Linked DNA regions of Coturnix japonica. The protein of the gene in region 1 binds, or shares a complex with, the protein of each later gene. Links are inferred from orthologs where the notes say so. Each region holds a gene or a part of one and is shown in the gene's direction. Other genes may lie near its edges.

Evidence for each region.
Region 2: the proteins of MLXIPL (region 1) and YWHAB are in contact, whole or in part, in a crystal structure (PDB 6YGJ), measured with the Homo sapiens proteins. The link is inferred for Coturnix japonica from reciprocal best matches to the Homo sapiens genes MLXIPL and YWHAB. Residues at the interface, in NP_116569.1 of Homo sapiens: Asp118, Ile120, Arg121, Asn124, Ala125, Trp127, Arg128, Ala129, Trp130, Tyr131, Ile132, Tyr134; in NP_003395.1 of Homo sapiens: Gly55, Arg58, Ser59, Trp61, Arg62, Ser65, Ser66, Gln69, Lys70, Arg129, Val178, Tyr181, Glu182, Asn185, Leu218, Gln221, Leu222, Asp225, Asn226, Leu229, Trp230.

What each region holds. Positions count from the first base shown.
Region 1 is NC_029534.1:126,983-140,803, reverse strand, and holds the end of MLXIPL (carbohydrate-responsive element-binding protein), read left to right. Parts: intron 1-699; coding exon 700-806; intron 807-957; coding exon 958-1,040; intron 1,041-1,285; coding exon 1,286-1,375; intron 1,376-1,930; coding exon 1,931-1,975; intron 1,976-2,210; coding exon 2,211-2,409; intron 2,410-2,728; coding exon 2,729-2,809; intron 2,810-6,635; coding exon 6,636-7,436; intron 7,437-7,648; coding exon 7,649-7,722; intron 7,723-8,071; coding exon 8,072-8,246; intron 8,247-8,834; coding exon 8,835-8,947; intron 8,948-9,070; coding exon 9,071-9,223; intron 9,224-9,435; coding exon 9,436-9,563; intron 9,564-9,715; coding exon 9,716-9,839; intron 9,840-10,572; coding exon 10,573-10,702; intron 10,703-10,777; coding exon 10,778-10,887; 3' UTR 10,888-11,077; downstream 11,078-13,821. Other genes in the region: TBL2 (transducin beta-like protein 2), read left to right, coding at 11,257-11,353, 11,488-11,630, 11,715-11,899, 12,229-12,380, 13,473-13,599, 13,728-13,821. UniProt on the Homo sapiens protein: Binds DNA as a heterodimer with MLX/TCFL4 and activates transcription. Binds to the canonical E box sequence 5'-CACGTG-3'. Plays a role in transcriptional activation of glycolytic target genes. Involved in glucose-responsive gene regulation.
Region 2 is NC_029535.1:4,605,984-4,621,768, reverse strand, and holds the start of YWHAB (14-3-3 protein beta/alpha), read left to right. Parts: upstream 1-7,599; 5' UTR 7,600-7,735; intron 7,736-14,167; 5' UTR 14,168-14,174; coding exon 14,175-14,468; intron 14,469-15,458; coding exon 15,459-15,582; intron 15,583-15,785. UniProt on the Homo sapiens protein: Adapter protein implicated in the regulation of a large spectrum of both general and specialized signaling pathways. Binds to a large number of partners, usually by recognition of a phosphoserine or phosphothreonine motif.

The sequences.
Region 1 (13,821 bases):
TCCTGGCCTGGGGGCACAGAACGTCTCTCCCGGTCCTTCCTGAGGGTGAGAGCTCTGGCCCACAGATGTGTTCCTACACCAGTAATTGGGGGAACCACACGGCTCTGAGCTCCTCCCAGCCCAGGAGTGTCTGCCTGTAGCAAGGAGAGCCGCCAAAAAAGCCACTTTGCAGAGCTGAGGGACAGGGAGCCCCAGGATCCTGGCAGCAGCAGTGGGGGAGCCCTGACAGAAGCACTGCAGGGATGGGGCAGAGCAATAGCGGTGCTGAGCTCTCAGAGGACGCCCTGCTGTCACCTGCTGGGTGCTCCAGAGATGTTGCATGGGGTATGGAACACCTACCAAGGCAGCCCCAGCCTCTCCTCCTCCCTGCATGCACAGGAATCCAGAGCAGAACAGAGATCATGAAGGGACAACCTTCTGACTAGGGAGGAGTGCACGCACAGCGCTCCACGTGAGGATGCTGCCCATCAGGAGCAGCTTTGGTGCAGCCATGGGAGCAGTCGGGGTCAGGAATCCCTGCAGCTGGGGACTCCCAGCTCAGAGCTGTATCTGTAGCTCTGGGCAATCAGTTCCTCTGCCTGCCATGCTGTGATCCTGGGGCTCTGGAGGCCCTGCAGGATCAGCAAAGCTCTCACACTGGGGCTGTGCTGGGGGTCCCAGCATGGTCCCCTTCAGCTCCTCCTCTGCTCGGTGTTGCAGTGGGAAGCTGGTGTCACCGAAGTGGAAGAATTTCAAGGGGCAGCGGCTGCTTTGCCGGGATAAAATCCGCCTTAACAATGCCATCTGGAGAGCGTGGTACATCCAGTGTGAGTATGGGGCACTGCCTGCTCCCAGCTGAGCACCCGGCTCCCTGCGATGGCACAGTGTGTGCCCAGCCCTGCAGGCACCGTCAGAGCAGTGCCCAGACACGTGCAGGGGGAGCTGCAGACAAAGCCAACTGTGTTTTCCCCTGGGCAGATGTGGAGCAGAGGAAGAACCCAGTGTGTGGCTTCATCACCCCCCTGGAGGGGTCGGAGGCTGACGAGCACCGCAAACCAGAGGTAGAGTGTGGGCTGTCATGGCAGCTGGATCTGGGTGTGGAGGGCACAGTGAGGAGCTGAGGGCAGCAGAGCTCCCATCATTGGCTGCTGTGTTCATGAAGTCTGAGCGATAAAGTGTTGGTGATGTGTCCTGAGGACAGCGGTCCCGGCCGTGGGGCACCTGGGGCAGGCGTGGGCTGCGGGTGTGGGGCTGTGGGTTGGCTCCGTGGTGCCGTACGGCCGTGACACCCGCATTGCCCCTCCAGGCCGTGGTGCTGGAGGGCAACTACTGGAAACGGCGCATCGAGGTGGTGATGAGGGAGTACCACAAGTGGAGAACCTACTACAAGAAGCGGGTGAGCGGCGCTGCCCTGCTGCCCCTGGTTGTGGGGTGGCACATCATGGTGCCCAAAGTGGAGCTGCCGGTTGTACCACAGCGATGGTGGCGGGGTTCGGTGACCCCGTTCCCGGCCCCAGCAGCCCGGATCCAGCCGGCTGTGCCCGGTGTGCGGCTCTGCCAGGGCTGTGCCCGGCGCTGCACCTGCCGTGCACGTGCTGCAGTGGGACGAGCGGGACTCGCTGCGGGCCCGAGCTGGGCTGGGATTCGCTGGCAGCCGCGGCTCAGCCCGGCAGCACGTGTCTCGAGGCCTGGTGGCCCAGCGTCACCCCGGTGTCACTCCCAGCCGCGATAATCTGGTGCTGGTTCAGGTGGCACCAGCCTTGGCTGCCTGCCCGCGGGGCGGAGCGCCGTGCCAGCCTCCTCCCTCCTCATCTTGAAAAGGGGTGCAGCCCTGCACCGCTGTGCCCGAGTGCTGGGGGCAGATGTGAAGCAGGGGCAGCCTGGGCCGGAGCCTGAGCTGCCCTGCACACAGCCCTGCCAGCCGCCAGTCCAGGCTTCCTTCTCCTTCCAGCTCCGAAAGTCCAGCCGGGAGGGAGAGCTCTGCAGCCCAAAGCAGGTGAGTGTGATGGGGAAGGGCAGGCAGGGACAGTGGGACGAGGCGCAGATCCCTGCCCTGGGCAGCTCGGGAGAAGGGCAGATGAAAGCCATGGTCGGTGATGGCCCCAATGGCTGTGGAAGGCACTTGGGGTGCTGCCTGACTCTGGGAGCACCAGTGAGCCGAGCTGGAAGCCTCAGACATGGGCACTGCCTGCAAGGAGTGCCCACCGGCTCCTTTGCACCATCTCGTGCAGGACGAGGATGCCTGGAGACCGACAGAGAAATGGTGCAACCAGCTCTTCTGCAACGTGGTGCCCATGCTGCTGGGGGACGAGGAGGAGGAGCCGGGGGGTAGGCAGCACTTTGACTTGGACACGTTCCTCTCGGATATCTCTGACACCCTGTTCACCATGACGCAGATACCCAGCGCCCACCAGGAGCTCCCCGAGGACGGTAGGTGACCCGCATGGGGCCGCACTCCTGCTGGAGGAGGAGGAGGATCAGGCAGACAGCTCAGTCCTGGCACACTGTTACTTCTTGGCTTTGCAGCCTTGCCCAGAAGTTTGAGGGCCCTGCACGAAGCCCCTGAGAAGCTGCTGGGCAGAATGGTGGGAATGGGATACCCCCAGAGGATGGTCCCTGCGCTGTGCTGTGGGGCAGGGTGCGACCCGCAGGGAGAGGCTGTGGGTGGCTGTTAGTGAGGTCAGCAGTGCCAGCCCTGAGGTGGGGAGCTGGGGATGCAGCACCCTAACATTGCAGCTCTGTCTTCCAGCATATATTGGGAATGCTGACATGATCCAGCCTGACCTGGCACCTCTGCAGCCCAGCCTGGATGATACCATGGAGATATCAGGTAAGAGCTGGTCTATATCTGTGCAGCTCTGCACACCCTGCAGTCGAACATGGAGCTGAGCTGGCCTGGAAGCAGCAGGAGCTGCGGGGGAGGCATAAAGCACATCTGTTGTCACGCAGGGGCAGCAGAGGGACAGGGAGGGGCTGGGAGCTGTGGAAAGGGGCTTCTGCCAGCAGAGAGTTGCATCAGGAGAGTGAAGCCACCTGGGCTTGGCTGCAGGCAGAGGACAGTTATCCCCACAGAAAGTGGACACCTCTATGGAGCAGGTTCTGTACCACTGTCCTATCACTGCTCTCTTGCTGCAGAGCAGCTGGTGGGTGCTGGGACCCCATGATGGGCTGTGCTGTGTCTTCTGAGGTCACAGTTGCTGCCAGGTTGGCCTTGAAAATCAGATGTGGTGCTGGTGGTGTCCAGGACAGGCAGAGGGCTGCTGAGGGGCAGCAGGGGACAAGCAAGCCATCCTGGCAGCACCTGCTCCTGCAGTCCTCCTACCATCAGGACCTGCCTGTGACACAGGACACTGAGCAGAGCGGTGTCCATGAGCTGTGCAGTCAGTCAGGATGTGTCCTTGTCACATGTGCCCTGTGCAGGGCACCCACGGGCTGTGCCAGGCCAGGCACCGCTGATGCACGAAACACCAGAGGCCTCAGATGTGCTGGAGCCGGTGGCACGGGCACTGTGCAGGGTGGGACCCCGCAAGCAGCCTCAGGAGCACCCGGCCTTGGGAGCCCTCAGAGCATGTCCGTGCCCTGCACAGAGCCTGCCCACGGCTCCTGCCCTGCCACTGCAGCCGCCTCCACCTCCCACTTCCCTCTGCTGGAGGAAGCACAGGCCCTTGCACCACGCAGCCACCGGCTGATGCAAGACCAGATGCTGGTGGGGAGCAGGGCAGCCATGGGGCAGCCTGGTGTGCCGAGCTGGGAAGCCCAGGGGTGCAGCCATCGCGACTTCTTGCCCCCACACGTCCCTGTGGGCTGAACCGTGGGCAAACCCCAAAGGGGTCAGAACGACACCTGAGAAGTGTCCTTCCCCTTGCAGGTCCTTTGCAGCTGGGAGGCTGTTCTGAGCCCTGAAGCAGCACCTGACGGTGACACAGAGCAGCCCCAGTATCTCTGTCTATGGGCAACGTTCCCTCTGGTGCTGCTGGCGTGAGCACAGTGCGGCACAGCCCGGCCTCCAGCAGGGAATGGCACATGGCACCGTGGTGCCCATCCAAAGCCACGTGCTTCTATGAGCATTTTCCCCGGGGTGCTGCCTGGGACGAAGCGCCGTCACTGTGCTGCACGATGTGCAGGTGCAGCTGTGGTTTGTGCAGGGCTGCTGCTGTGGCCACAGGGCTGTAGGGTGAGAGGATGGAGAGCCCCTTCTCAGGAAGAGGCTGCTGCCAGACGCTGGGCGCTGTGTGCCAGAGCTGCAGTGCACCCAGCCCTGAGGGAAGTCCCCACAGCCACTTCTGCCGCCGGTGTGTGCAGGGCTTTTGGATCCTGGGTCTGTGCCTTACAGACAAGGCCAGCAGGGCAGAGCAGGGGCTCAGGACTCCAGTGGGGTCACGGGGCCATCGCCGTGTCTGGGGACTGTCACTGAGCTTGGTGCCTGTCAGTCAGCAGGCACAGGCCAATCCCCAAATGAGGAACCACGTCGTGTCCTCAGTGGGTGCCAGAGCGCAGCGTGGGGGGGTGGAGAAGCCCCGATGGCAGAGACGAGGGAGCAGCCCAGCCCAGTACCTGCGTGCTGCTGGCACTGCACTCCAGGTAGGACCTGCACTGCTCACTGGGGCCCTGGGGCCAGGCTGACGGGGTGGCATCACCCCATGGTGCTGCCGTGCTTTCCCAGAGCCAAGGGCCAACAACGGAGTGTCCCAGCCATGGGAGCAGGCTCTGTAACAGGAGTCTCTTTGGAGAGCACCCAGTATTGGAGCAGAATGCTGAAGGCATGGGGTGCTGACCACATAGGCTCTCATCCCCCGGGTGGCACCGTGCCCGGGCTGCACTACACAGCTCGGCAGTGGGTCAGGGCAGTGTGAGCGGAGAGGAGCAGGGGTGAAAGCTGCAGGGTGGGGAAGGGAAAGGAGAGGTGGAGGACGGGGGGATTCCAGCTGTTGTGCCAGGCAGCATCTGCCACCCACTGCGGCAGCACAGCGAGCAACACAAGAGGAATCGAATCTGCAGAGCTGGGCATCAGAAACGCCTATAAATGCATGCATAGCTTTGGTGCCAGCAGCAGGAGATGGCACAGTGTGCACAGGAGATGGCACAGTGTGCACAGGAGATGGCATAGCGTGGGCACAGATGAGGGTTGGGTGCAGTGTGGAGCCAGGTGCTGCACTCCCTGTGAAGGCAGCAACCATTAGGGTTGCTAACCATGCATAGTTGTGCCCCTGTGCAAACCAAGCGCCAGCTCTGGAGGGCAGGTGTCATGGTTCTGTAATGTTGCTGTCAATAATGTGGCTCTGCAGCGCTCCTGAGCATTCGGTGTGTCCCAGCCCCAGTCTGGGTGGCACTGGGAGCAGGAAGAGTTCAGTTCTGAGGAGGATGAGCTGCTGCCCTGAAGGATGGTGGAGCTGGGAGGCTCTGAGCGCCTTGGAGGCCATTATGAGCATGGGAATGCTTGTGCAGATAGCGGCCAACTGCCTCTAGCTGTGGGCTGGAAGAAGCAGGGCGGCAGTGCTGCTGCCCATCCATGAGGGGTATATAGCTGAATGCCATCCCCAGCCAGGGCACATTGGCTGCAGCCACTGCATGCAGGGCTGGGAGAGAAAGGGCCATGTCAGGGCTGAGCAGAGCAGGTGCGATTAGGGTTGGTCATGGCATTTCCCTCTGCACGTGCATTTGTTCCTCAGGTGTAGATTCAAAAAGTTACCAGTCCCAGAGGCTTTGCTTGTTCCAGCCAGGGCATCCCAGGCAAGGCAGCCTGTGCCAGAGCCTGCAGGAGCCCTATAGCATGGCCAGCACCCGGGGCACACAGAATGGGCAGGAGCAGCTCAGAAGGGCTCAGGGCAGCTGAGCACACACAGTGGAGGTGTGAGTGCTCATGAGCTGGAGAAGCTGCTTGGATACAGACCCCGTGTCAGGCAGCTGCTTGCAAACCCACCCAGCACTCCCACTCAGTGTGGAGGTGATGCCCCAGGCAGCAGGCAGCACTCTGTGCCATGGTGTCTGGGCCTGCGGAAGCACTGAGGCTGTGGGAAGGAGACAGGAAGGGAGAGGGAGTCGTGGCTGGGTCACGGGGCTCGGCTTCGGGAAGGCCATGGGATGTGGTTAGCCACAGGCAGCACGCACAGCAGGACTGGGGCTGGGAGGCCAACACTTGCCCCAACCCCAGTGGGACTGTCCCCTGTGACTCCAGGACAGTCCTCAGGGCTGCCCCACATCTGCCAGCTCTGCCACTGCCCCACAGCATAAGGGCTCAGCTACTGCACAGCTCAGGGCTGGCTGTGGGGATGCAGGGAGAGACCAGATCCCTGAGAGCAGCCAGAGCATGCGGCCTCAGCTGGGTGTTGGGGATGGGGTCTCCACCCTTGGGTGGTGTTCCTGGGCGGGTTTTCCTGTCCCATTGTGCATGGCCAGGCTGGGCTGTGCACGAGCTGCCTCTTCCCTCCAGCCATGTGAAGCTCTGGTGTTTCACAACCAGGGCACCAAATCTGCTCATACAGCCAGGAGCTGTTCCAGCCCTGCCAATTGAACGTGATGCCAGCAAGTCCCTGCCAGTGCCAGGCACGGCATGCAGCTCCCTCCAGCACGCCCCAACCTTGCATCCCCCTTTCCAGGGGCTGAAGCACTCCCCAGGCCCCCATTGCCCATCACCATCTCTTTGCTTCACCCCACAGATATTTTCGTTGGCCATCGGCCGCTGCCTGCGCAGATGCCGCTGGGCTATCAGGAGCCACCCTGCTTTGAGCCCCTCTATGGCAATGGAGGGACCGTGCCCGCCGGCCCCGATGCCCCACTCCCACCCAGCCCTCTCCTCCAGGTGAGCGGGACCCTGGCCCATGACCCACGGCTGCCGGTGCCCGAGCCACCCCTCCTGACACAGCCGTGTGCCCCACAGCCCGGTGATGCCACCCAGCTCAGCCTCCACGGTGCTTTCTTTGGCCCTGAGCAGCCCCCACTGGCCCCCGAGCCCCTCACCGCTGTGCCTGGCTGCCTCAGCCCCCAGCTCAAACCCAAGCCCTTGCTGCAGTATGGTTTCCCCAGCAAGTGCCTCGGCACGGAGCCGCTCAGTCTCCCTTACACCGCCCCCAGCCAGGCCCCTGGCACACCGTTGCTGGGCTCACAGCCGCCATTTTCCCCCGCCTCTGTGCCCCACTCCAAGTTCCCCTTCCCCCCCTCGCCCAGCCCCTCGCTCCTCACCCACCCTGCATCCCCGCTGCCCGTGCCGTGCTTTGCCCAGCACACCCCGGGCCTGGGCTACGCCATGGACGTGGTGCCCGTAGGGTACCCCAGCCCAGCTGCGCCCCAGCACCTGCACCCCGCCGTGCCACCTGCGCCCAGGTTTGCTACCCCAAAAGGGCCATCCCTGGGTGAGCGGCCGAAGGTGAAGGCCACCAAGGCAAAGAGGCCGCCAGACCCTCCTGTGCCTCCACACCTGACAGTGCCCAACGTCTGCCTGACCCAGCTGCTGGCCACAGGTGAGGGGTGACAGGGGAACTGAGGGTGGCGGTGTTGGGGTGCAGGGCTGCTGGGAGAGGTGGGCTGCTCCCTGAGCCGTCACTGCCTTCCCTGGGGCAGATGGACATGTGGGCTGGAGCTCGGGGCTGGCACTGCCATGGGGCAGGAAAATGTCACCCAAGCACCAGCTGCCCGACGCAGAAGGGCCCTTCTGCTCTCTGATTTCTTGCAGCCAAGCAGGAGCCAGCCCTCGATGCTCCACACATGCATGGCCCCGCGCTCATGCCCGCGTCCCCGGCCTCTCCGGTAAGCACCCACCTATCTCCAGGTTGGGGACTGTTCCCTTTGGCTGGGAATTACTTTCCTGTTGCTGGGGAACAAGGAGAGAAAGCAGCTCTGTGTGAAGCCCTTTGCAAAATGGAGTTAGATGTACATGGGGCTGGAGGTCAGGGTACTGCAGGAGCTCAGAGTGAGGCCGGGTGGGAGTCAGCCCCAATTAGAGAAATGGCAGAGCTGGGAGAGACCTCAGGGCCCTGTGGGGCTCCCTCCCTGGTCCCACTGCGGGTTTTGAGTAACCAAAGGGGCTGTGTAAACCTGGCGTGCATGGGGCGCTGCCCCAACCTCCCTCCTGCTTCCCTCTGCCTTCCCTCTGCAGCAGAGCAATGTCCCCGATGTTCCTGACGTCTTCCTGCCCAGAGTGGCCCAGCTGAGCTCGGTGCTGTCTCCTGGCTCCAGCCCTTCCCAGGAGGTGCCTGTGCTGCAGGCAGGTGCAGCCCCAGGGTCGCTGCGTGTCCCCAAGGTTGAGCGGCTCTCCCCAACATTGGTCTGTGGTGAGTCTGGGTGCCCGCAGGATGCCCCGGTTCCTGCAGGGAGTTTGAACCAAACACGGGGTTTAGTGTTTGGTGTTTCTTTTCTGAGAAAGTTCAATTTATTTTTTATTCCTACTGCTTTTAATTACCCACCTGAATGAGAGCAATTGCTTTCTGCTGGGGAGGGCACAGAACATTCGTCTGGCTCCTTCTCTGGGGGCAAAACCATAAACAGGAAAATACAAAACGTAGCAAAGTGTCAGAATGTGGTTTTGAAAACCAGAGCCGGGTTTGGAGGCAGGAAGCGCCCTGCGTTCACCCACAGAAACCAGACCGGAGCAGGAAGCTCATTTCCACTTCCAGCTGAGTGCTGCAAACCGCAGCCCTGCTGCACTCAGGACTCTCCTGGTGGTTTCCACCCCGCTGGGAATTTAAAACTTCATGTCCCAAATGCTCCCATGTCTTGTAAAAATGAGAGTGATTTGGGATTAGTTGGGGCAACAAGACGTGGTCAGACACGGGGCCGTCAGCTGAGGGTCTTGCTGCCCCAGAGCCAGGGCAGCGCTGCAGTGCTCACGCTCTCTCCAGTGCACCCTTCTACTCCCCCAGGCAGTGACTGGCCCAAGCCCAGCCAGGTGTCCCCAGGAGCTGCTCCACCACCCAGTGCCACCGTCTCCCTGCACCATCCCTCATCCCGTCGGGGCAGGCCTGACTCCAGCAAGGTACGGTGGGAACAAGTGCTGCCTCTTACAGGGGCAGCTTCTCCACGTGCACCCCCACCCGCTGCCCCCCACACTCACCCCCACGCTCGATGAATGCTTGGGGCCAGCCTGTCTCCAATGCAGGGAGAGGCCCAAGGCCATCTCTGCTGCCTGCAGATGGAGAACCGGCGCATCACACACATCTCTGCTGAGCAGAAGAGACGTTTCAACATCAAGCTGGGCTTTGACACACTACACAGCCTGGTGAGCACGCTGAGTGCCCAGCCCAGCATTAAGGTGAGCACACAGTGCTGCATGGGCTGGCGCCAGGCGTGCAGGGACACAGAACATTGCCTAGTGATGACACGGTCCTGGGCTGTGCCAGCATGCACGTTGTGGTGCCTAAGGGCTGCAGCCTGATGCCAGGGCTCAGCAATGGGGCACACAGCCCCTTGTGCCCTACTCATCCCAGAGGCTCCCTGCACCATCCCACTTCTGCCACCCTGCAGGTCAGCAAGGCCACCACCTTGCAGAAGACTGCTGAGTACATCTGCAAACTGCAGCAGGAGCGGGCAGCTCTCCAGGACGAGGCGCAGCGGCTGCGGGAGCAGATTGAGGAGCTCAACAGCTCGATCAAGTAGGGGGGCACGGAGCACAAGGTGTTGCCTGCTTGAAACATGCAGAGCCACCAAGCCCTGCGGCACACCGGGCTCCTCTTCTCACGTGGGGCAGCTGCCGTGTGCCCCAGGCTCCCACCCGTGGCCCCACAGAACTGTTTGTGCCTCACAGCCTGTGCCAGGAGCAGCTGCCAGCCACCGGGGTGCCCATCACGCGCCAGCGCTTCGACCAGATGCGCGGCATGTTTGACGACTACGTGCGCTCCTCCACGCTGCACAACTGGAAGTTCTGGATCGTATCCTTTGGGTCAGCACTGGATGCTCAGTGCCCCTTCCACCACACACCAGGTCCGCCCTCCCCTCCCAGCTGTGTGGGATCCCTGCTGCTCAAGACGTTCTGTGGGTGACACGTGAAGGGGACACGCTCAGATGCTTAGAAGAAACTTCTGTTACTAGAGAGCAGCAGGGTAGGAATAAACGGTCAGTCCTTGGGGAGCAGATTGAAGTGCCCAGACTGAGCTGGGCATTGCTACACGGGCAATTGCTCCCAATAACTTTGGAACTGGCGCTGAGATGCAGCAGCCATCGGTTAGAGGTTGGGAAAGGATCAGATGCAAACCCAGGAACATGATGGTTTCAGCTGGGTGTTTGTGTGCTGTGCTGTGCTGTGCGCTGTGAGCTATGAGCTGTGTGCTGTGCTGTGCTGTGTGCTGTGCTGTGTGCTATGGGCTGTGTGCTGTGCTGTGCTGTGAGCTATGAGCTCTGTGCTGTGCTGTGCTGTGAGCTATGAGCTCTGTGCTGTGCTATGGGCTGTGTGCTGTGCTGTGCTGTGAGCTATGAGCTCTGTGCTGTGCTGTGCGCTGTGAGCTGTGTGCTGTGTGCTGTGCTGTGCTGTGCTGTGTGCTGTGCTCTGTGCTGTGCTGTGCTGTGCTGTGTGCGCCCATCACAGCGCAGTGCAGGCAGGATCGCTGTTGGCCGCACACAGGGCACCGCGGCCACCGCCACGTTCGTCCTTAACCGCTCCAACAGTTCAGCGTCATCATCCGGCCCCTGTTCGAGTCCTTTAACAGCACGGTGTCCACCAGCAGCATGGACAGCCTCACGCAGACGTCCCTGGCCTGGCTGGAGCAGCACTGCTCCCTCCCCGCGCTCCGGCCGTGTACGTGGCGCCGCTCGGTCGGGGGGTGGGAGCAGCCGGCCCGGTCCGGTCCGTGACGTGCCCCGTGTCCCGCAGCGATCCTGGGCTCCCTGCGGCTCCTCAGCGTCTCCACGTCCATCCTCAGCGACCCCGCGCGTGTCCCCGAGCAGGCGGCGCGCGCTGCGGCCGGGAGCGGAAACACGTGACAACCGGGACGGGACGGCGGGAGGGAAGGAGGAAAGGGACACCGCAACAACAAGACGGCGCTCACGGGACCGGGCCGCGTCCGCACCATAAAGCAACACCATTAAACCGACACCATTAAAGCTGCGCCATAAACCGGCCCCGTTAAAGCTGCGCCATACGCCGGCCCCATTAAAGCCCTCATAAACCCGGCCCGGTACCGGCCGCGCCATTAACGCCCCCATAGAAACACGCCGCCGCAACTTCCGGCCACGCGCGGTCACGTGGGAGGGGGCGGGGCCAAACGAGAGGCGCGCCAGGAAGGGGCGGGGCGGGGCCGTGTGTCGGCGCATGCGCAGCGCGTGCCCCGCCCGGCCGTGAGCTGTCGGGCCATGGAGGCGGCGCTGGGGCTGGGGCTGCTCCTGCTCGTGGCCGCGCTGCTCGTGGCGGCTGCGCTGCGCCGGGCTGCACCGGGGAGAACGGCCACCGGTACGGCACGGGGTGACGGGAGAGTGGGTACAAGTGTGGGTTCGGCTGTGGGTACCGGTGTGGGTACGGCTGTGGGTACCGCTCCGTTTCCGCCCTGCCCGCGGTCGCTCCCCGCTGAGTCCCGCTCCCCGCAGGCCCCGCACTGACCGGCCCGGTGCTGACCGGCCCCGCCGCCTCCAGCCCCGACAGTCCCCGCAGGGCGAAGCCGCGGCCGCGCAGGGAGAAGCCGCAGCGTGAGCCCGGCTTCACGCACCGCCTGCTGGCCGCCGCGCTCAAGGTACCGGCCGCCCCCACGTCCCGCTGGAGCCCCCCGTCCCGTCCCATCCCGTCCCGTCCCGGCCCTGACGGCCGCTCCCCGCAGGGTCACGTTGGCGCTGTGAGCTGCCTGCACTTCAGCAGCAATGGGAAGCACTTGGCGTCCTGCGCCGACGATCGCACCGTGCGGCTCTGGAGCACACGCGACTTCACGGCGCGCGAGCACCGCAGCGTGCGGGGAAACGTGGAGCTGGACCACGCCGAGCTCGTCCGCTTCAGCCCCGACGGCAGGTGGGGCCGGAACCCCGTGTGGCACCGGCGGCGCGATGCGGGACGTCCCGCCTTAACGCGGGGCTCGGGGCGGTGTCACAACACCCGCGTTGCCGGCCGGTATAAGGGGGGTGCGGGAGCTGCGGGGGAGGCAGCTCGGTGCTGCTGAATTGCTTTGAGGGCAGAGGAAGGGACGGAGCTACCGCAGGGCAGGTACCGAGCCCTCATAAAACAACTGATGTGTCACCTCTCCCCCAGGTGCCCCACGGTGACCGGTAACTCACACACCGGAGCTGGGCCGACCACGGCAACCTGCTGCTTAACGGCTCGGTTCCCGTCCTTCCACTTAGGGCGCTCCTCGTCTGGCTGGCAAACGGAGAGACAATTCGTGTCTATAAAGTGACGAAGAAGGACGACGACAGCTTCACCTTCACACCATCCTCCGAGGATTTCCCAAAGAAGCACAAAGCTCCCGTCATTAACATGGGAGTCGCAGAGACAGGTGAGCTGCTCCCCTGCTGTGCCCCCACACCCACCTGGATTTCCTTTCTGAGCAACAGCCGCTGGGTTGAACATGTTGATAGTCCTTGACTTGATCAAGGCCTGCTCGATTCTGTGTTATTCTAGTTGTTGTGTCTTAGCCTTTGTTTACTATTGAGTAAGCTGGAAAACAATTTGAGGAGAGAAATCTCTAAGGAAGCTTAGAATTGCCTGATTTGCAGTGTCTTATTTTAGGCTCTCAGGGACACTGTTGTAAAGAGTCGTGGTCTCAGTATTGAGCATCACTGTTGTCTGGCTTGTTGCTCTTGCTTCAGCCAGTGAGAAATGGCTGCAGTCAGTTGACAGGTTCAGGAGCGTAGGCTGGCCCTTGGTATCTCCTAGAACAGCCTGAGAAGGGTGAATGTTGATGGCTGAGGCTTGGTGGATTCGTGCTTCAGCTGCGTGGCAGCGCACAGTTGGCAGCGGGTGGATGCACGTTCCACTCTGTAAGAGAAAAGTCCATGAATTTTTAACTGAGGTCTTTGTTTGGCTGCAGGAGTGAAAATTGAAACCCTGTAACAAGTAGCTTGAAGATAAATTTGAACTCAGTGTCCGTGCTGAGATGAAAAGTGAAAGCACAGCAAGTGGAAACAAGCAAATATCCAAAATGCGACGCCACCAGTAATCCAGGACAAACGTAGTGTGACTTCTAATCATCTACCAGTCTGTAATCCCTGACTTTGAAAGCTAGATACCTCTCCTGGTTAAAGCACAACCTGATAAAGTCTGCTGCATTGACTGAGCGTAGCACTGAGCTCTGCAAGTAGGATCTGAAAGGTGCCGGGTGGAAGCTCAGGGGGGCTCTGGGTTGGCAGCTGTGAGCTGCTGAGTCCTGACTGAACACTGGTACATACCCGGCCATGGGCCTGTTGGCACGGCTTTGTGCTCTGTGCCAGGAGAAAAGTGCTGCTGCTTTGGTGCTGCTTTTGGTTTCCTGACAGTTCTGATGCAGAGACAAGTTTCTCTGTTTAGGAACCATTACAGCTGTTGGTGACTATGGCAGCTTTAGGCCTAGGAATTCTCCTCATCTCTGCCTTTTTCTTCCTCCCCCCAGGGAAGTTTATCATGACAGCTTCCAGTGACACTACCATCCTGATCTGGAGCCCCAAGGGTGAAGTCCTTGCCAGCATTAACACTAACCAGATGAACAATGCCTATGCTACTGTATCACCCTGCGGGAGGTGAGGAACCTGCAGGTGTTTCAGGCTGCTGCTGCTGAGTGGGAAGCTCAGTGGTGCAGTGGCTGTGGAGCTGACCCTATAACCCAGCCACAGTGATACTTTGTAATAGACTATTTTATTTTGTTCAGGTTTGTGGCATCGTGTGGCTTTACTCCCGATGTGAAGGTTTGGGAAGTATGTTTTGGCAAGAAAGGTGACTTCCGGGAAGTGACCAGGGCTTTT
Region 2 (15,785 bases), on another chromosome or scaffold:
TAAGCAAAGCTTCGACGCGGGGCTGGAACACACAGTGGTCACAGCAACCTCCAAAAGAGCTGAAAAACCAAGAGAAATGGACAAGGGAAGGTTTTCCTGCCCGCACATGCGCTCTGCATGTCCATCCATTGGGCAGGAGATGCTGTGCTTAGCATGCAGGGCAGGGAAATGGCACCACAGCCTTCAGTGATGTGTCCTAGGGGAAACAGGAGTGGAGGGAGAACAAGAGCAATGGGGCTGCACATCCTCCTCCCTGCAGGGCTGCAATGGGGCAGCCATGGGGCTGGGGCTGCTCCCACCCATAAAGCATCTTCTGCAAAGGAATTTAAAGCGTTAGTCCCAAATCTCCTAATTTACCCTGACTTTTTCTCTTTAATAGTATTCATGGTGGAAGCCATCTGGACTGGGTAATTTATTAGCTTAGAATAATTCAACTGCTTTGCTAATCTCATCCCATTTCCCAGGGTTCCCTCCAGGTGCTCGGTGGTACAGCAGGATGGGAGTGCTGTGCTGAGGCTGCCCTGCACCCACAGTCCTGCCAGGGCCAGCATCAGCCCCACTCCACCCACAAGGTGAGGGGGAAACAACTAAAATGGAGCTGTATGTGAAGATATATATTTGTAGATCTGCATCTGTATACACCCATATGCACTCAGCACTCCAGCAAAGGCTGAATGGTTAGGACCATGTTCATGTTCCTTAGCACTGCCAGCTCTCTTGGTGGGAAGCAGGAGGGTGTCCCATGCAATGGGTTTTCCACGCTGTGTGTCCCTGCCACTCTGTAAATGCCACCATGGCTGTGGCAATGATGCAGGGGCGCAACCTTCCCCATCCCCTGGCAGGACAGAGCTTGGCAGTCCCGGTTGGATTGGCCACACCCCAGCAGGGCTTCTGCTGTAACAGGGACTGAGCATCGAAGCTGCTCTCCAGCAGCCACCCGCTGCCCTGAACACTGGCCTTGTTGCAAAGTCATAATTGAGCCCTTATTAGCCTAAATGATTAAACTGCCCTCTGTTGAGAGAAATCAATTTGCCAGCAAATTTCCTTCTGCTCAGCTCGCAGCACCAAGCACTCTCAAGCTGTGCTCTGCTCCTATGAATATGTGGGGATGGCTCCAATTGACATTGTCTTTGGCCATGGGGACCCCCAGCCCGAGGGAGGGTGGGGGGGAACACTGCATTGCCCCTGCTGCCATCACCGCCCCCTCCTCTCCTTTCCTCTGCAGGAGAAACAGCAGGAACCACAGCAATGAGATCATCTGCTCCAAAATTACTCACACTGAATTAATCACCCAGCAGCACCGGGGGAGCAGCCTGGGGACCTTGGGGATGAGCAGGGAACTTGGGGAGTCCAGCACAGGGGCTCGCTTTGCCTCATCTGTGCCTGAGCTGGGGCTCCCACCAGGCTTCAGGATGGCTCTCCCTGATGGGTGGGCACAGGGAGGTGTCCCAGCACTGAGTCCCTTCAGCGCTGGCATCGCAGCACTGAGCTGCTGTGCTCTGGAATGAAGCTGGCTGCAGCCTCACCAGCAGCAGGTCTGGCCGCTGCCTTCACACCAAGCCAGCTCTGCACACAGCTGTGATTAAGTTATGGCTCGTACAGGAGTAGGGCTGCCAGAAGACATCAAATTACTTCCCTCTGCCATCATCAATCAGATGTGCTCATCCTTACTTCTGCAAGAAGCAACCTGCCCTGGTCCAGCTGACCATGTCCCTGCCCACTGCCCTGCACTGCTGCCCAGAGCTGTGGGTGACCCATCTCTGAGGGTGCTTGAGGCCATGGATGGGCCCTGGGCAGCCTGAGCTGGGTGCCAGCTAAGAGCAATGGGAAGCTGGGTGGGCTCTAAGGCCTCTTCCAACCCAGCCATCCTGGCTGTAATCCCCCGGGGCTTCTTGTTGCTTCTAGGGATGCTGGGAAAATTAGATATTTTTGCCTCTTTTCGGTGCCTTCCAGAAAATCCATGCTTTAATGAAATGTTTGTATTTCAGCTTTAAGTAATCAGCAGCTCAGATAGGATACAAATTCTTTCTTTTTTTTTCTGCTTCTATTTTGCCCATTTCAGAGAATCTGCAATATTTTTCTGGATTTACGTCCATCATAAAGCCAGGATCCTGTCCCAAAGCAGCCATACTGAGGTACGGCTGAAAATATAAAGACTTAATAAAAACTTATGCAGTAATTTGGCTCTTAATCCCAAACACAATCTCTCCCTGCAAATAACGGCAGCCTCTGCAAGATTAAATTCTCCCTGCATATTGTTTGTAGGCCTGATACCTTCTATCAAGCTTAGAAGGGTTTTAGGTTCTTAAGTCATGGCTCTGTAATTGCACATCTGATTCAGCTTGTGATGCACAGAGCTCCCGAGGAAGCTTTTGTAAAGATTTCTCCATGTCTGACAATGGTGTGTGACACTGAGATGCATTTTGTACATCATGCAGTGCAGGGAAAGTGCAAGGCCAGTGATTTCTTAAAGCAAAATGCCTGCTGCCCTGTAGCTTGCTGCAGAAACGCCTTGCAAACTGTGCTGGTTGTCCATGTCGTGCTCACTCAGCAAAACGTCCTGGCCAGGTTATATTTAACCTCAGCTTGAGCATCACTGTCGTAACCTCCCATGCAATCTGCCTGGGCAGTGTCATAATTAATACTGCCCTTGCTCAGGCTATGAGAGGAACATGCGATGGCTCAGCTAGCTATAAACCACAGCAGAGATTCCATCTGGTCCAGCGTCTATTTATACCTCCCCAGCCCCAATTAACTTTGAAAGTTGGGGCTGGTGGTTAAGTAGAAAAATGGTTCTTGAAAAGCAAGATGGGGTGTGCAGCAAGAGGAGAGATCCTGGGGGCACAAAGAAGCTCCAGGCTGAGGCTGGTGCCTGGGTTCCAGCACATGCACCACAGGGAGCTGCTGTGGCCGTGTTAACTGATTGCTGCAGGGAGTGCAGAGCTCATCCTTGAGTAGGAAGGAGTTAATTTTGCCACGAGGCTCAAGCTGACACTGCAGCACCTGGAGCAGAGTCCTGGGACTCAGTGCTTTCTGCTTTGTGGCGTGCATGAAGCAACGTTTCCAGTGTTTCCAGCCTCACCAGCTGAACTGGAACCACACCAACAGTGGGAAAACTGTGCTCCAAGAGCAGGGTCAGGCTGGGCCTGCTAGTTCTCCTTTGTTCCCAAGGGGCTCTCTATGCCTGGTGCCTGCAGGCTGTGCCGGCTCACACATCCCTGCCTGGGACTGCACAGAGAGTAGTCAGCCCCAGAGCTGAGCTCAGGGTGGGCACAGTGAGTGTTTGCAGCAGCACAGAGCCTGAGAAAGGGCCTGTCTGGGCCACCGCCATCGCTGTGCTGTGCCCAACCAGCACTGCCTGCTCTCTGTGCCCAGGAATGTCTTATTGCCGTGCTTATGGAAGAAGGACAGCATGAGCAATGCACAGCTAGCAGCAGGTCTGGCCAATGATGATGATGGTGGGGATGGTGGCATCGCAGCTTCTGATCTTTTCCTTGTTTAGATACACAGGCATAGAATACCACAGAGAAATGAGCACCAAAGGAACACGCTGGGAGGGATCATAACTGCCCTTTGAAGAGAGGAGTACAGGCTCAGAACTGTCAGAGATGACAACAATGGCATCTGACTGAGTCCATTTCCCAAGGGGGCAGGATGTGGTGCTGTGGCTGTAGTGTGGCTGTATTCTGGTTTGACACAGCTAATATGGATATGGAAGTCCTTGCCTAGATCCACCTGTAAAGGCTCCTTGCTGATCTCTCACCACCATCACTGCAGTCTTTAAGACTACAGGACCCAGAGCAGTGTGTCGATGTGCTCAGGAGCTCCTCTCATTTCCCACCTCTATCAGTCTGCTCAAACATCTCTCTCTGCTGGGCTGCTTTGCAGCAGCTGCTGGGCAGCAGGTCTGGGAGCAGCGCTGGGACGCAGCGGCTGCTGTCACCCACAGTCCCAGGGCTCTTTGATTTGCTGTGCTTCCCATAAAGAGTCTGGCAGGAAATTGTTTTAAAACAAAATGACACATCCTGTCTCATTCTCTGGGGTTACAGTCACAGATCCTTTGATACATTTATGTTTGTGAACTGTTTGTTTGCATGCTTTGTTATCCCTCCACATCTCAGACTCATCCATCTTTGAGAGCAAACCCCTGCTATCTTCATTCCACCATTTCTTTGTCCCAGTCACTTCTTTATTAAGAGCATTTTGTCTTCCGAGGCAGCTGGCATTAAAATGGATAATTAGATTATGTTCTGGCACTCCAAAGGTAAATGCATTAACACTTTCCCATATACTCTGCTGGCCTCTGGCTGCTCTGTGAGCATTCAATAAATGAATCCAGCCTGAAATAAAGATGTTTTGCAGAACCAGGCAGATCTTTAGTATGAACAGGGAAGTCTCAGCTGGGATTTTCAAGGCAGCCTCACGCTGTTATGGGCTTTGTGCCTAACAGCACATTGAACCCTGGCTGTCCTGCGTCTCTCTGTTTGACTTTCTGTCCATACAAACCTGAGGAAGACAGCCCATTTTCTGTGATTCTTGGGAGCAGGATCCTGCTGAGGGAACTCGGGTGGCCCACAAGCAGCACTGGAATTTCCAGCAACACATGGAATTTGGTCACTGACATTTCCTGCAGATCGGTGTGCTGAAATGCCCTTTGTTTGCCCTTGGGAGTGGAGGCACCTTCATGATATCGGAGCAGCTCTTTCCTATGGGAATAGCAGGTGGCAGGAAGAAAACCAGACTTTTATTTTCAGAGAAAAAGACATAAAAAAATCCAAGGAAAGCAGAGTGAGGAGTGAGGCTGGGATGGTTTGCAGCTTAAACCTGCAGAACTGTTCTACCTTTGCAATGAAGGAGGTGAGAGGAGGCATTGCCCCACGTCCTCTGCCCCCATTGGTTTAATCAGCGCACCTCAAATGCAGGAGCCTGCTGGAAGAACTGGCATATAAACATGAATTAGAAGGAAATCTTATCCGGGTTGCTGGGGAAAGCTCTAGGAAGCCCATCCTAGAGCTGCATACTGAACTGCTTGGGAGGAAAGCAATTACGAGCACTGAGCGCATGAAATAAGCCTCAGCACCAGTGTCGGACAAACCTGCCCTTCCAGCTTTCCATGCTGTTACTGATTAATTCTTTTATCAGCCCTGTGCCATCCTCAGAGTTATCCCCCAGCTCTGACCATCAGTGGCCACTTCCTTGGAAGCCCCCATGGACTGTTAAGCTGCTGACGGCCCACTGGATGGTGTCTATTAAGAGAGACACCTTGAACGACAAGCCAGAGGTTGGAAACGTGCTGCTTCAGAGCTCTCAGTGTGAGTTCTCTGAGAAAAACAAAGATTTCAGGGTCATTTACATGGGGAGGAGGAGGAACAGCCACCTTCTCTTTTGTGGTTGATTCGCTGCATGCCCCAACCTGAGATCTTGGGTAGAAATGTGAAGAGGGAAATTGCGGTCCTATTTAAGAGTAGATAAAGCTCTGCTCTTTGCTGTGAACTCTTTTATTTGACAGTCAGGTTCTGCACAGGATGAAGGCTGAATATTCCATGTTCTATTCATGAAGAACTTCTGAGCTCTGGGCAGCTTCTGTACTTCTTCAGTCTTTGGGTTTTTAGGCCTTCAACATGACAACAGCCAAAGCCCAGATGCTGGCGTTCCTTTCCATCCCTCTTCTACCCTTGGAAACTGGATTTCCTAAAGCTGGCATCTTGGAAGGGCTTGCTTTTTGGTCCTTGAATTCTTTTAGGTGTTACCTGACATTAGAAATGCACAGCAACTCCACAGGTCTCAACAGCTACAAAATTTACAGCAGTGCATTCAGTTCTATTTATGCTGCTTTTCTGCACTGCCACTACTTGCAGCCTGCAATAAATTACCTGGGTTTAATTCATGACAAAGAGTTCATTGCACCTCCCCAGCAATAGCATTCTCTGCTTGGGACGCTACAGCCAACACTGCATTCCTGGAGCTGAATTTCTGCCCTGTCCAAGTCGTTTATTCTGCCCTTATTTCCCATCACACCATTTTCTACTATTCAGGTCATTTACATTTTCTTGCTCACGCAGTTCCCTGCCATATGTTGCTCTGTTGCTTTGCAGTTTTGCTCTTTCCTTTGTTGTGTAAAGTAATCTTCAGACCATCAAAATCAAATAGGTGTTTGACTACATATATTTATGATGTTGGCCCATGCTGTCAGAAGTGGACGTTGGTGGTATGGCATTTTGCTGCCATATGACAGATGGCAGCAGAGGGGCAATCGGAGCGAATGGAAGATGCGTATGAAGTGCGTATGAAGCAAAGACGTGTCACTGAGTTCCTCCATGTGGAAAAAATGCCCCCCTGTTGGTATGTAGTGACACTTGCTGAACGTTTATGGACAGCAAACATTGGCTGTGAGCACAGTGAGGCGGTGGGTGGTGTGTTTCAGTAGTGCTGACAGCAGGTCTTCTTTGCTGGTGCAGTTTGTTACAAGTACGGCATGCATGCCAAAAGGTTGGACACCCATGTCATAGCAGGTGCCTTAAACCAGCATCCTAATTCCATTCAGCATCATCCCCTGCCACCTCAGTTAGCTTCAAGGATTCTTTCTGAGGTGTGATACAAAACACAGTGGTGTTTAAAAATATCACAGTGTTCAGAGTAGCAGTACCTCCATTTTTCTGTACTTTGCCATGATCTGCACAGTCCAGATGATGTTTGAGCTTGATGACAGAACTGCTGACAGTATATACAGACATTTCCCTATTAGAAAATACCTGAACATCACAGGGGGAATTTAAAATGAGTTTTCAAGTCAGACTATTGCAAGAAATGGGAATACTGTTGCTTTAATAGTTCCCCAGCCAGTTCTTTCTTGCTTTTAGGGTCATAAAAGGCTGCTGCAGACCTGACTGTGATCCTTCTTCCAGTAGCTTTTCACTGTCGCAGAATCCCTTCCTACAACGGCAGGGGCTGGAATTACCAAGATTGAATGTAATTATGTGCTGTTGTTTTCTATCCCCCTTGCATTAAAAGACACACAAATTGTGATCAGTGACCTGTGTGACTCAGCTCTGGAACAACTGGAAGGCCCAGCCTGTGGATGCAGAACACAGAGGGGAAAGAAAAAAAGAGTAAGAGAACCAAAAAATACAAGTCCTTTAGTAGATTACGATGATATTTTGAATGCTTTATTTCAGTACCACAGTGTAGCTCCATCCCTTTCTCTTTGGGTGACACTTTGGGCAGCATCTCGCACACAGCGATGGTGCACTGCCATCAGCTGTTTGCTCCTGGGATCTACCTCAGCTCAGAGAGAAATAAAACAAACGAACAAAAAAAAAAATAAATCACAAAAGCTGAGCGGCCCAAGACTTTATTCCTTAAATAAAACTCTCAGTCCATGCAACAACCACCGCAGGGCCTGGCCCGGGCCGTCCCTCTGGTTGCAGCAGTTGATACGGATCTCTGGGATCCGTCGCTTTATTCACCCCGCTCCATCCCGCCCCGCCGCCATTTTCCGTCTCCTCAGGGCGGAGCCCATAGCAACCGCCAGCCGGATGGCGCCCGCCGGGCAGCGTCCAATCAGGAGGCGGCGCTGCCCCCCTCCCTCCCCCCGGCGCCGGAAGGGGCGTGTCCTGGAGGCCGGAAGCGGGGCCGCAGCTCCGCAGGGTGTGTGTGTGCGTGCGCCCAGCGGCCGCCGCGCTCCGTTCGCTTCTTCCGTCGGGATCCAGCCGCGCTCCGCGCCGCCCCCCGCCAGGTGAGGGTCTGCGGCCGCCCGCCCCTCGCTCGAGGCCGGGCCGCGACGCCGCGGTCCCGCTGGAGCCCGGGGAGCGGGCAGGGGAGGCCTGCAGCTCCCGACCCGCCGCCTGGGGGGAGGTGGAGGCCGCGGCGGGAGGGCCCCGCGCCGTGCGGAACCGGCCGCGCCGCTTCGTCCCCACCCGATCGCCGAGTAACGGTGCGACCCTCCCGCGGGGGCGGACGCTGCGGGGCGGCTTCTGGCCCGGCCACACCCGCCTGAGTCACCGCGCTCCGCGGGGCGAGGCCGCGCACACCTGGACCGAGCCGCGGGCCCGCGCCCTCTGTCGCCGCCCGTGAAGGGCTCGGCCCGGGCGGGGGGAGGAGGCGATCCGCCCCCAGGGCAGGGCCCGGCACGGCTGGCGGCCCCCTCCATCTCCTCCTCCTCCTCCTCCTCCTCCTCCTCCCGAGGGCTCCTCCCTTCACGACCCTCTCCATGCTCCGGGCCTTCTCGCGGCGCTCACAAAGCCCGGAGCTCTTACGAGGCGCCTGCTGTAGGGCCCATCCGTGTGAGCCCGCTCAGGTTTAGGAGAGGTGATGAGATGAAACGTCTGCGGTGCTTCAGAAGATGTTACACCGATGGTGTTATTTTTAATCTTAAATTATTCTTATCTGGGGATAGAGATGAGTTTAGGGAGGACTGCAAAGCTGACTTCACGCTATCCCCAATATATAAGAAGGTTGGGTTAGTCACCTAGAACTAACAACTTTAGGCCTTTATGAGGTATGTATAATTAGATATTAATTGGAATGATAACAAGTGGGATGCAGTCGCTATGTTAGCACGTAGGGCAAAAATGTATCTCATGCTGCCATTGCAGTATCATTCAGTTACTTAGTTAAATTCCTTGCCAACCGTTAAAATAACTTTATGGGGTAGGAAGAAAAACTGTTTATCACTCAGGGTTGTAGAAGCAGAAGAATACAAAAGAATTTTAAGGTTGTGTAGCATTCCTGGTTATGGGAATACTTGTGTCTTCACACATGCGCTGCTGCAGGACCTCAGGCAGAAGTTGTAGTACTTGTATTTAAAGAGTAGCTTGCATTGTTTGAAGGCAATATGGAGATGCAAATCGGTCTAGAAAAGGAAAGAAAAGAACGTGAGTGTTTTCTTCACTCTTGATATTAAAAACCTGCAAAAATATAGTTTATGTAATAGTTGGTTTATTAAATTGGTACCAGTGGAGTGGTAGACTCAGTGCACAGATGGGCCCGGTGCAGTTTTCTCAACCTCATTATGTCAGTACTGCATGTTCTGATCTCTGCTATTTTGATAGAGTCCTTTTTTTTTGTAAGCAGCCCTTTGCTGGTATGCAGCTTTTTGTGCTGTATGTGAATAAACTCCAATAAGGAGGAGTTAAGTCAATAGTTATTTGAATAACGGGATGAGAAGCTTGTACTGCAGCCTGTCTGGTGTCCTCATAAATCCCAGCAGGACTAGGCCTTATTTTAATGGCTTTTATATGACCACACTTTTTGCTCTACGCTGTAATATAAATGTTTTCAGATTGTTATTAACAAGTGATTTACCTGTGATACAGATACATTCGTTTGTCATTAATTTTATGCCTGGGGGGAGATTTTTTGTGGGATAACTCGACTATTTGCACTTGGACTCGGGCTAAAGGCGCATTCACTGGAACAAGGTGTTACCACGTAAGTATGTTGTACTTTGGAACCACGTGCTTGTCTCCACCCGCAGCTGTCCTGCGTGAAGTGCCATAGGTATGGAGCAGTGCAATGCTTCTCAGCCTCCAGTTCCTCATCAGAAGTCAATAGGGACAGTAAGGCTGCGGTCACTAAACTCAACTTGTCCATACAGTGTCAGTTTCCATCCCTGCTCTTGTTACTTCTGATAGAAGATCCCATGGTTATTTGCAGAGATTGAAAGCCTTTGTACCATTTTTCCAAATGATAGGGAAAATCAGTTTGAGGAAAGAGCAATTAATGGTGGCAGAAAGCTGCCCAGCAAATTGAGGCATGACTTTATAGAATGTTAATGTGATCTTAACGTTTGCGGAATGATTAGCACCGAAGGCCGGGATGTATTTCTAATCAGCAGGTACAGAGGAGGTTGGTGTTGTGTGCTGCACAAGGTCAGTGAGAATATCACAGCTGTGAAACCCATTTTTCTTTTCCCTTCCTTAAACATGCAGTATATTGTACTGAACTTTTGTCATAGCCAAGCTCAGGGTGGCTGCAGAAGACTTCAGTGTTGTGATTGTATCAGACGTCCATTTTCTGATCAGTTTTTCAACAATAGATGGTTGCCTTGGAGGGAACTGAAATAGAGAGACACAACGAAGTGAAATGGCTGAGGTAAAGCAAAGAAGGTTCATCGCACTCCATTTATGGAAGGGCAATTCCTTTCATGCAGAAAATACTGACCGAGCGATGCCCGCTTGATGGTGGCTGCCATCAGTATCACACAGGTTCTGCCAGCATTGTAGCTCTGCTGTCAGCGTGTGTGCACCTGAATGATGGCTTTGCCATTTGTTTCAGGAATAAAAGCTGTTAGTCTCAATAATTACAGAAATAGAATGGAACGTACCTCACAGACATGTTTAATTTTGTAATTCATTGCCTATCCACAAACCTGTAAGGTACATCCATGTGTTGGTAGTTGAACCATAAATGTTGTACCACACTAATGCTTTTCCTGTTACCATTTGAACGGATCTACACAGTTTGTGACCGAGAAATGATTGTGTCCCATTTCACTGAATCTGATTTCATACTCATTTCTCCCAGTGAAACATCAGTCTGTTAAATTGCATCTCTGTGTGACTCGTTAGTGATGGCTTTGTCAAACCAGTAGTTTTATAATGAGGTGGAAGTGTTTGTCTGACAGACTCTGGTAGTTACTGTGAGGAGAAAAACAATACACAGAAATCGATGACTTAATTAGCATCAGAAGAACAGGCAGACTTCAGGCCAGCATCAGCTTATTAGTATTGTCTTGTCAGTTCAATATGTTACATAAGCCAGATTTTTTTTCAGCGTCATTTCTCATCTAGTTCCTACAGACCTTAAGCTCACTTACTTCTGATCTGTTTTGGCTTTGTCCTAAAGAGTTGGTTCAGCCTGGAAGCAGTGAAGGCCGCAGAGCAGGTGCTGTAAGTGCTGAGCAGCAAGATGCTCAGTCCTCCTCAAGCACTTGCAGTCTTCTGAGGAACGTTACCTTACATGGTTTGCTCTTCAGCTGTTATTGACAGTAAACCTCCACTGCTGTGCATCACTCTTCTCTTGAGTGCTCTGGGTGTCCTGAGTTCAGGTGCTGTGTCCAGGATGGGCACACCTTCTCCTCCTTGCACTGAAAGTAACTGAGCATTTATAAACATCCTGAGCTCTACCTGAGGTGTTCGTCATTGTATCAGCTCTCACCTACACAGACGTAAAACTTTTTGTGGGGAGGGAAGTAAGCAGTTGTAATCTCCTGTCTATACACACAATCCTGCACTTGTAACGGGTTGGAAGTTTAGGCTGTATGAGGGAGAGATAGTTTTTGTCTCTTTGAGTGCGGGGAATCAGGGTGCTTTGAATTGCTGGCTGCTTGTACTGATGGCTGCAGCTGCTGGCTAATAGCGGCATTCCTTCCTGGAAGTGGTGCCCAACCGCTTCTTTCCGGAGGGCTGCTAAGTTGTCGTTTGACAGATTCTTAAGAAGTCAATCTTAAGAATTTTCAATGTATTAACAAATCTGAGTATCTTCCGCTTAGAACAGGCAACTTCTGCAACTCCTCCATGGCTGTGATCTGCACGTCTTCCCTCCTTTGTCCATCTTCCCTCTTTCCCTTTTGCCAACATGGCATGGCTTCAGTAGTACCAGAGCAGATGATTCCTGTTGGCCTTCTGTTTGTCACCTCTATGTGTCTGGCTCCCAGCTGCAGGTAACCTTTGTTAGCTGGCTTCTGTTTGTGGCCTAGGACTATTGTTAGCTCTAGGCTTTGCTTGTTTCAGACTGTGGCACACTGATCCATTGTTAGTGTGGCTTCCATCTCCTTTATGGGAGGGACTAGTTATAAGTGATACTTGCCTCTTTGCCTTTTCAAACATCACTCCTTTCCTTGTATCTTTTTTTCCTTCTGGCAAACACCTCCCTCTTTTGGAGCTCAAGCCAGCATAGCTCTGCAAAGCTCTTCTCCAGGCTTCTAGCAAGGTAAGCAACAGAACAAAGTGGTGATCTTTACACAGCACCCTGTGGCTGAAGTGACGGTAGGCTGAATGGCAGGTTGCAGACATCTTGGTGTGGGCAATGTTTTCCTTGCTGCATTTAAGTTCTGTTAACTCCATTTTATGGAACAGTACTTTGCAGTTTCATAGCAAACACGCTGAGAGTACAGATATTGAGATAAATCAACAGTTCAAACCCCTGTATAATGAATTCTTAATTTAAGCCTGTGAAGATCTGAGGAGCTCCATCTTCAGTAATGACTTTGAGTTGCACTTAAGATGTGCATGAATGTGTGCTACTAAAGGAAGTTATTTGAGAAGCAGCATTGTAATGCTCTGTGCTAATGCTTTTGCTGTATAGCTGGTGTGTTAAAGTGGTTTCTGGAGCTCTTTTATCCACTAGCACTTGGTCCTTGCAGTTCCCTCTTGATTCCCTCAGCACATCCTTACATGAACCCACTGGCTGCCACAGACTGACTTGCATCCAAAGGTAAATATGTCAGTTAGCTCGATAAAACAAACTCCTCAGCATTTCAAAACTGATCTACATTTTGTTTGTAAACAGAATTGTGGACCAATGACTTGTGTGCACGTCAGACCACTATTGGCAAAACGCAGATCAAAGATCAGACTGACCTTTCAGTGGTGAAATGTAAACTACTGGCATTGCTTGCCTTGGGCTTCAGCATGCAGGCTTGGGCTAATGTATGATTGTGTTCCCTGAAAGGAAGAGAAGATGGTGGCAGGACTTCTAGAAGCTGTGCAGACTGAGGAAGTTCAGAGTGTTTTGTTTAGGTGTCCTGTTACTTAAATTTGGCTCTTGGGACATAAAAGACATTCTTCAGGTGTGCTGTGTTCATGGATGAAGAAATGGCTTTACTTCCCATATGAAGCACATCATCTAAACACGGTGCTGAGTTAAGGAAGTGGTTTGGGAAGTTGCAGCAGTTATAATAGATCCTTTCAATAGTGAACAGTCTGGTGATTTCCTTAGTCTTACTATGTATGTGTACATGTACACCGGTGTTTTGTCAATCCTTTACATAGAGCTACAGTCTCTTGCCTAATTAATAGAAGCCTGTGAAAGCCAATTAGGAATATATTTTTCTCATTTATTTTTTCCTGTTTCTTTCGAGTTGTTTGTAGGCTGTTTAGGTCTCACACTGAATATTTCTGATCTAGACATTGAGAGCACTGATTGACATGAAGCAGCAAGAAAGGAATCTTACTGCTCAGTGCTAATGAAAATGACCATTCTGGGGCTGTCAGGAAGTGCAGATTTTAAGTGTATGGTGAAATGTTACTGATAAATCTGAACACCTGGGAGTCTGTGAGGCATTGAGGTCCTCAGCATTGAGACTCATTTTGTTTTCCTGCAAACTTGGGCCCAGCTGATGGAATACAACATTAGCTTAGTGTCCAAGTTAAATAAATGTTGCTGCTGTCTTGTAGGAACATGCAGTGCTCAGTCTGATACTGACAAGTTCTTAAGTAACTTCATTTTTCTTTGCTGAATTGGTTTTGCAGCAGTGACTGTTACACAGGCCACATCCCATTCATTACTGTGAATGTCTGTGTTACTTAAAGACCTTAGGAGCCCAAATCCGCAGCCACTCTAGGTGTGTGGAATTGCCCATTTTAGACATGCATCTATCTATATATAAAGAATAAATTTCTAGTAGAGCAGTATAAATGTATTTTCTGTGCTTGCTGTCAGCTGTATCTATAGTGGGTGTGGTACATTCCCATAGAAACATCTCTAGCAGTGAGCAGGAGATGCTTGCTGTCAGGAGGGGTTGTCCAGCTGCCCTGTGCTCTGAAACAATTGCTGTTGAAGACTAATACACAACCAACACAAATGAAGGCTCTGCTGATTCTTGCTGCAGAGCATGATGAGGTGTATCCCAGGCTGAGCTGTGGCTGCTATGGGAAAGAGGAGAGACTTACTCAGGGAACATGCTGACGTGCCTTCATGCTCATTTAGATTTTGCAGAAGTATGAGGAATAATGGTTATGTGCTTTCAGGGTTGTGATTATACATACTTTCTGTATGTACATTGTTATTTGTCAATTTTTTACACTAAAAGCCATTTGTATCTATTGGAGTGGGTAAGCTTGCCACCTTTTAGTAACTGTGAGTTGTTCTTCACCCATCAGCATTAACTTTTGCTGTATAGACAACCTAAAAGTATTTTCCTGTTTTTATTCCCTGCTAATTACAGGATAGCCATGGATAAGAGTGAGTTGGTACAGAAAGCCAAACTGGCTGAGCAGGCCGAGCGTTACGATGACATGGCTGCTGCTATGAAGGCTGTCACTGAGCAAGGACATGAACTGTCCAATGAAGAGAGGAATCTCCTCTCCGTTGCCTACAAGAATGTTGTGGGGGCCCGCCGCTCATCTTGGCGTGTGATTTCCAGCATTGAACAGAAAACAGAGAGGAATGAGAAAAAACAGCAGATGGGAAGAGAATATCGTGAGAAAATTGAGACTGAGCTAAGAGACATCTGCAATGATGTTCTGGTAATAATCCAACAGCAAAAATAACAGTAGCTTGTACTGCAGTATTCTTCAGAGAGCCTTAAGGAATCTTATTTGTGTTGTAGATACTGCATCACCATAGCAGGGAAGCAGTTCTGCTTAACCACGGGTTTAAGTCCACTTCTAGCTCCTAAATAATATAGTTTGTTTCACAAGGAATTTTTTGTATTCTTACATGTTTTAAAAATAGCATTTTGTTTAAATAGAAATGAGCAAGGCAGTGTTAAAGGCCACCTAACTGCTGGCCTGTGCTCAGTGTGAAAGTGAGTTTAGCAATAGCAGAAATCCTGATTAAAAAGCTTGCTGTTTGCTTAAATTGTTTTGTTAATGAATGCTGACTTTCTGAGGATTGTTCAGTACCTTTTAGGGGATGGAGAAGGTTTGCACTTCCCCAAAATTAGTTCTGTTGCTTCTTTCTCTTAAATGAGAGGGATCCTTTATTCTGTTGTTTGTTTTGCTACAGATCTACCCTCAGGAACAAATGATGCCAGTACTTTCAGTCTTCTCACCACTTTCTGAGTGCGCTTGTGCTGTCTGTGCTGCTGTTCAGGTTTTCAGCTGGAGCTGCAGATAGAATCAGTTTGTTACAGATTCTCTGATGTGCACAGAGTTAAAACCTGTGGTGGGAAAAGTGACTGCATCTGTGCTAATAGCAGGCTGCTGCTCTTCATTAGAGCTTGCTTGTGGGTGTAGGTTTACTGTAGTGTATTTCTAGGAAATTAAGCAGTATTAAGCTCCAATAGCCATTAGGTTCTGCAGGAGTGATTCTCAATAGCTTCAAATGTTCTGAGGATAAGAATACAAGTGGTTTCTTTTTTACTTACTGAGTTGAGGGAACATTGAAGTGACTTACACACAAGTATGCGTGTTCATGTTCTACCACTTTGTGTTTACTGTTGTAATGGAGGCTTGGTTTCAGACATTGCTTTTTGTTTTCTTCCCAAGTCATAAAAATAATGTTTGCTTTCTCAGGAACTCCTGGATAAATACCTTATTGTCAATGCCACGCAGCCGGAAAGCAAGGTCTTCTATTTGAAAATGAAAGGCGATTACTACAGATACCTGTCAGAGGTGGCATCTGGGGACAATAAGCAAAGTAGGTAGAGGTGAAAGCTCTCGTTCTGCTGGGGTCTGCTGTTTGCAGACTTTCTGCTTACAGAGGTGTGGGACGTTGGGTTACCGAGTCTTAAGTCAGTTAAACTTAGGAAGCGTTAAAGCAATGCTGAACTATGCCTGAGTTCTTGGTGGGTGTCTAATCTGGCCCACAACTTGCAAGCTTAGTTTGACACCATTCTTGAA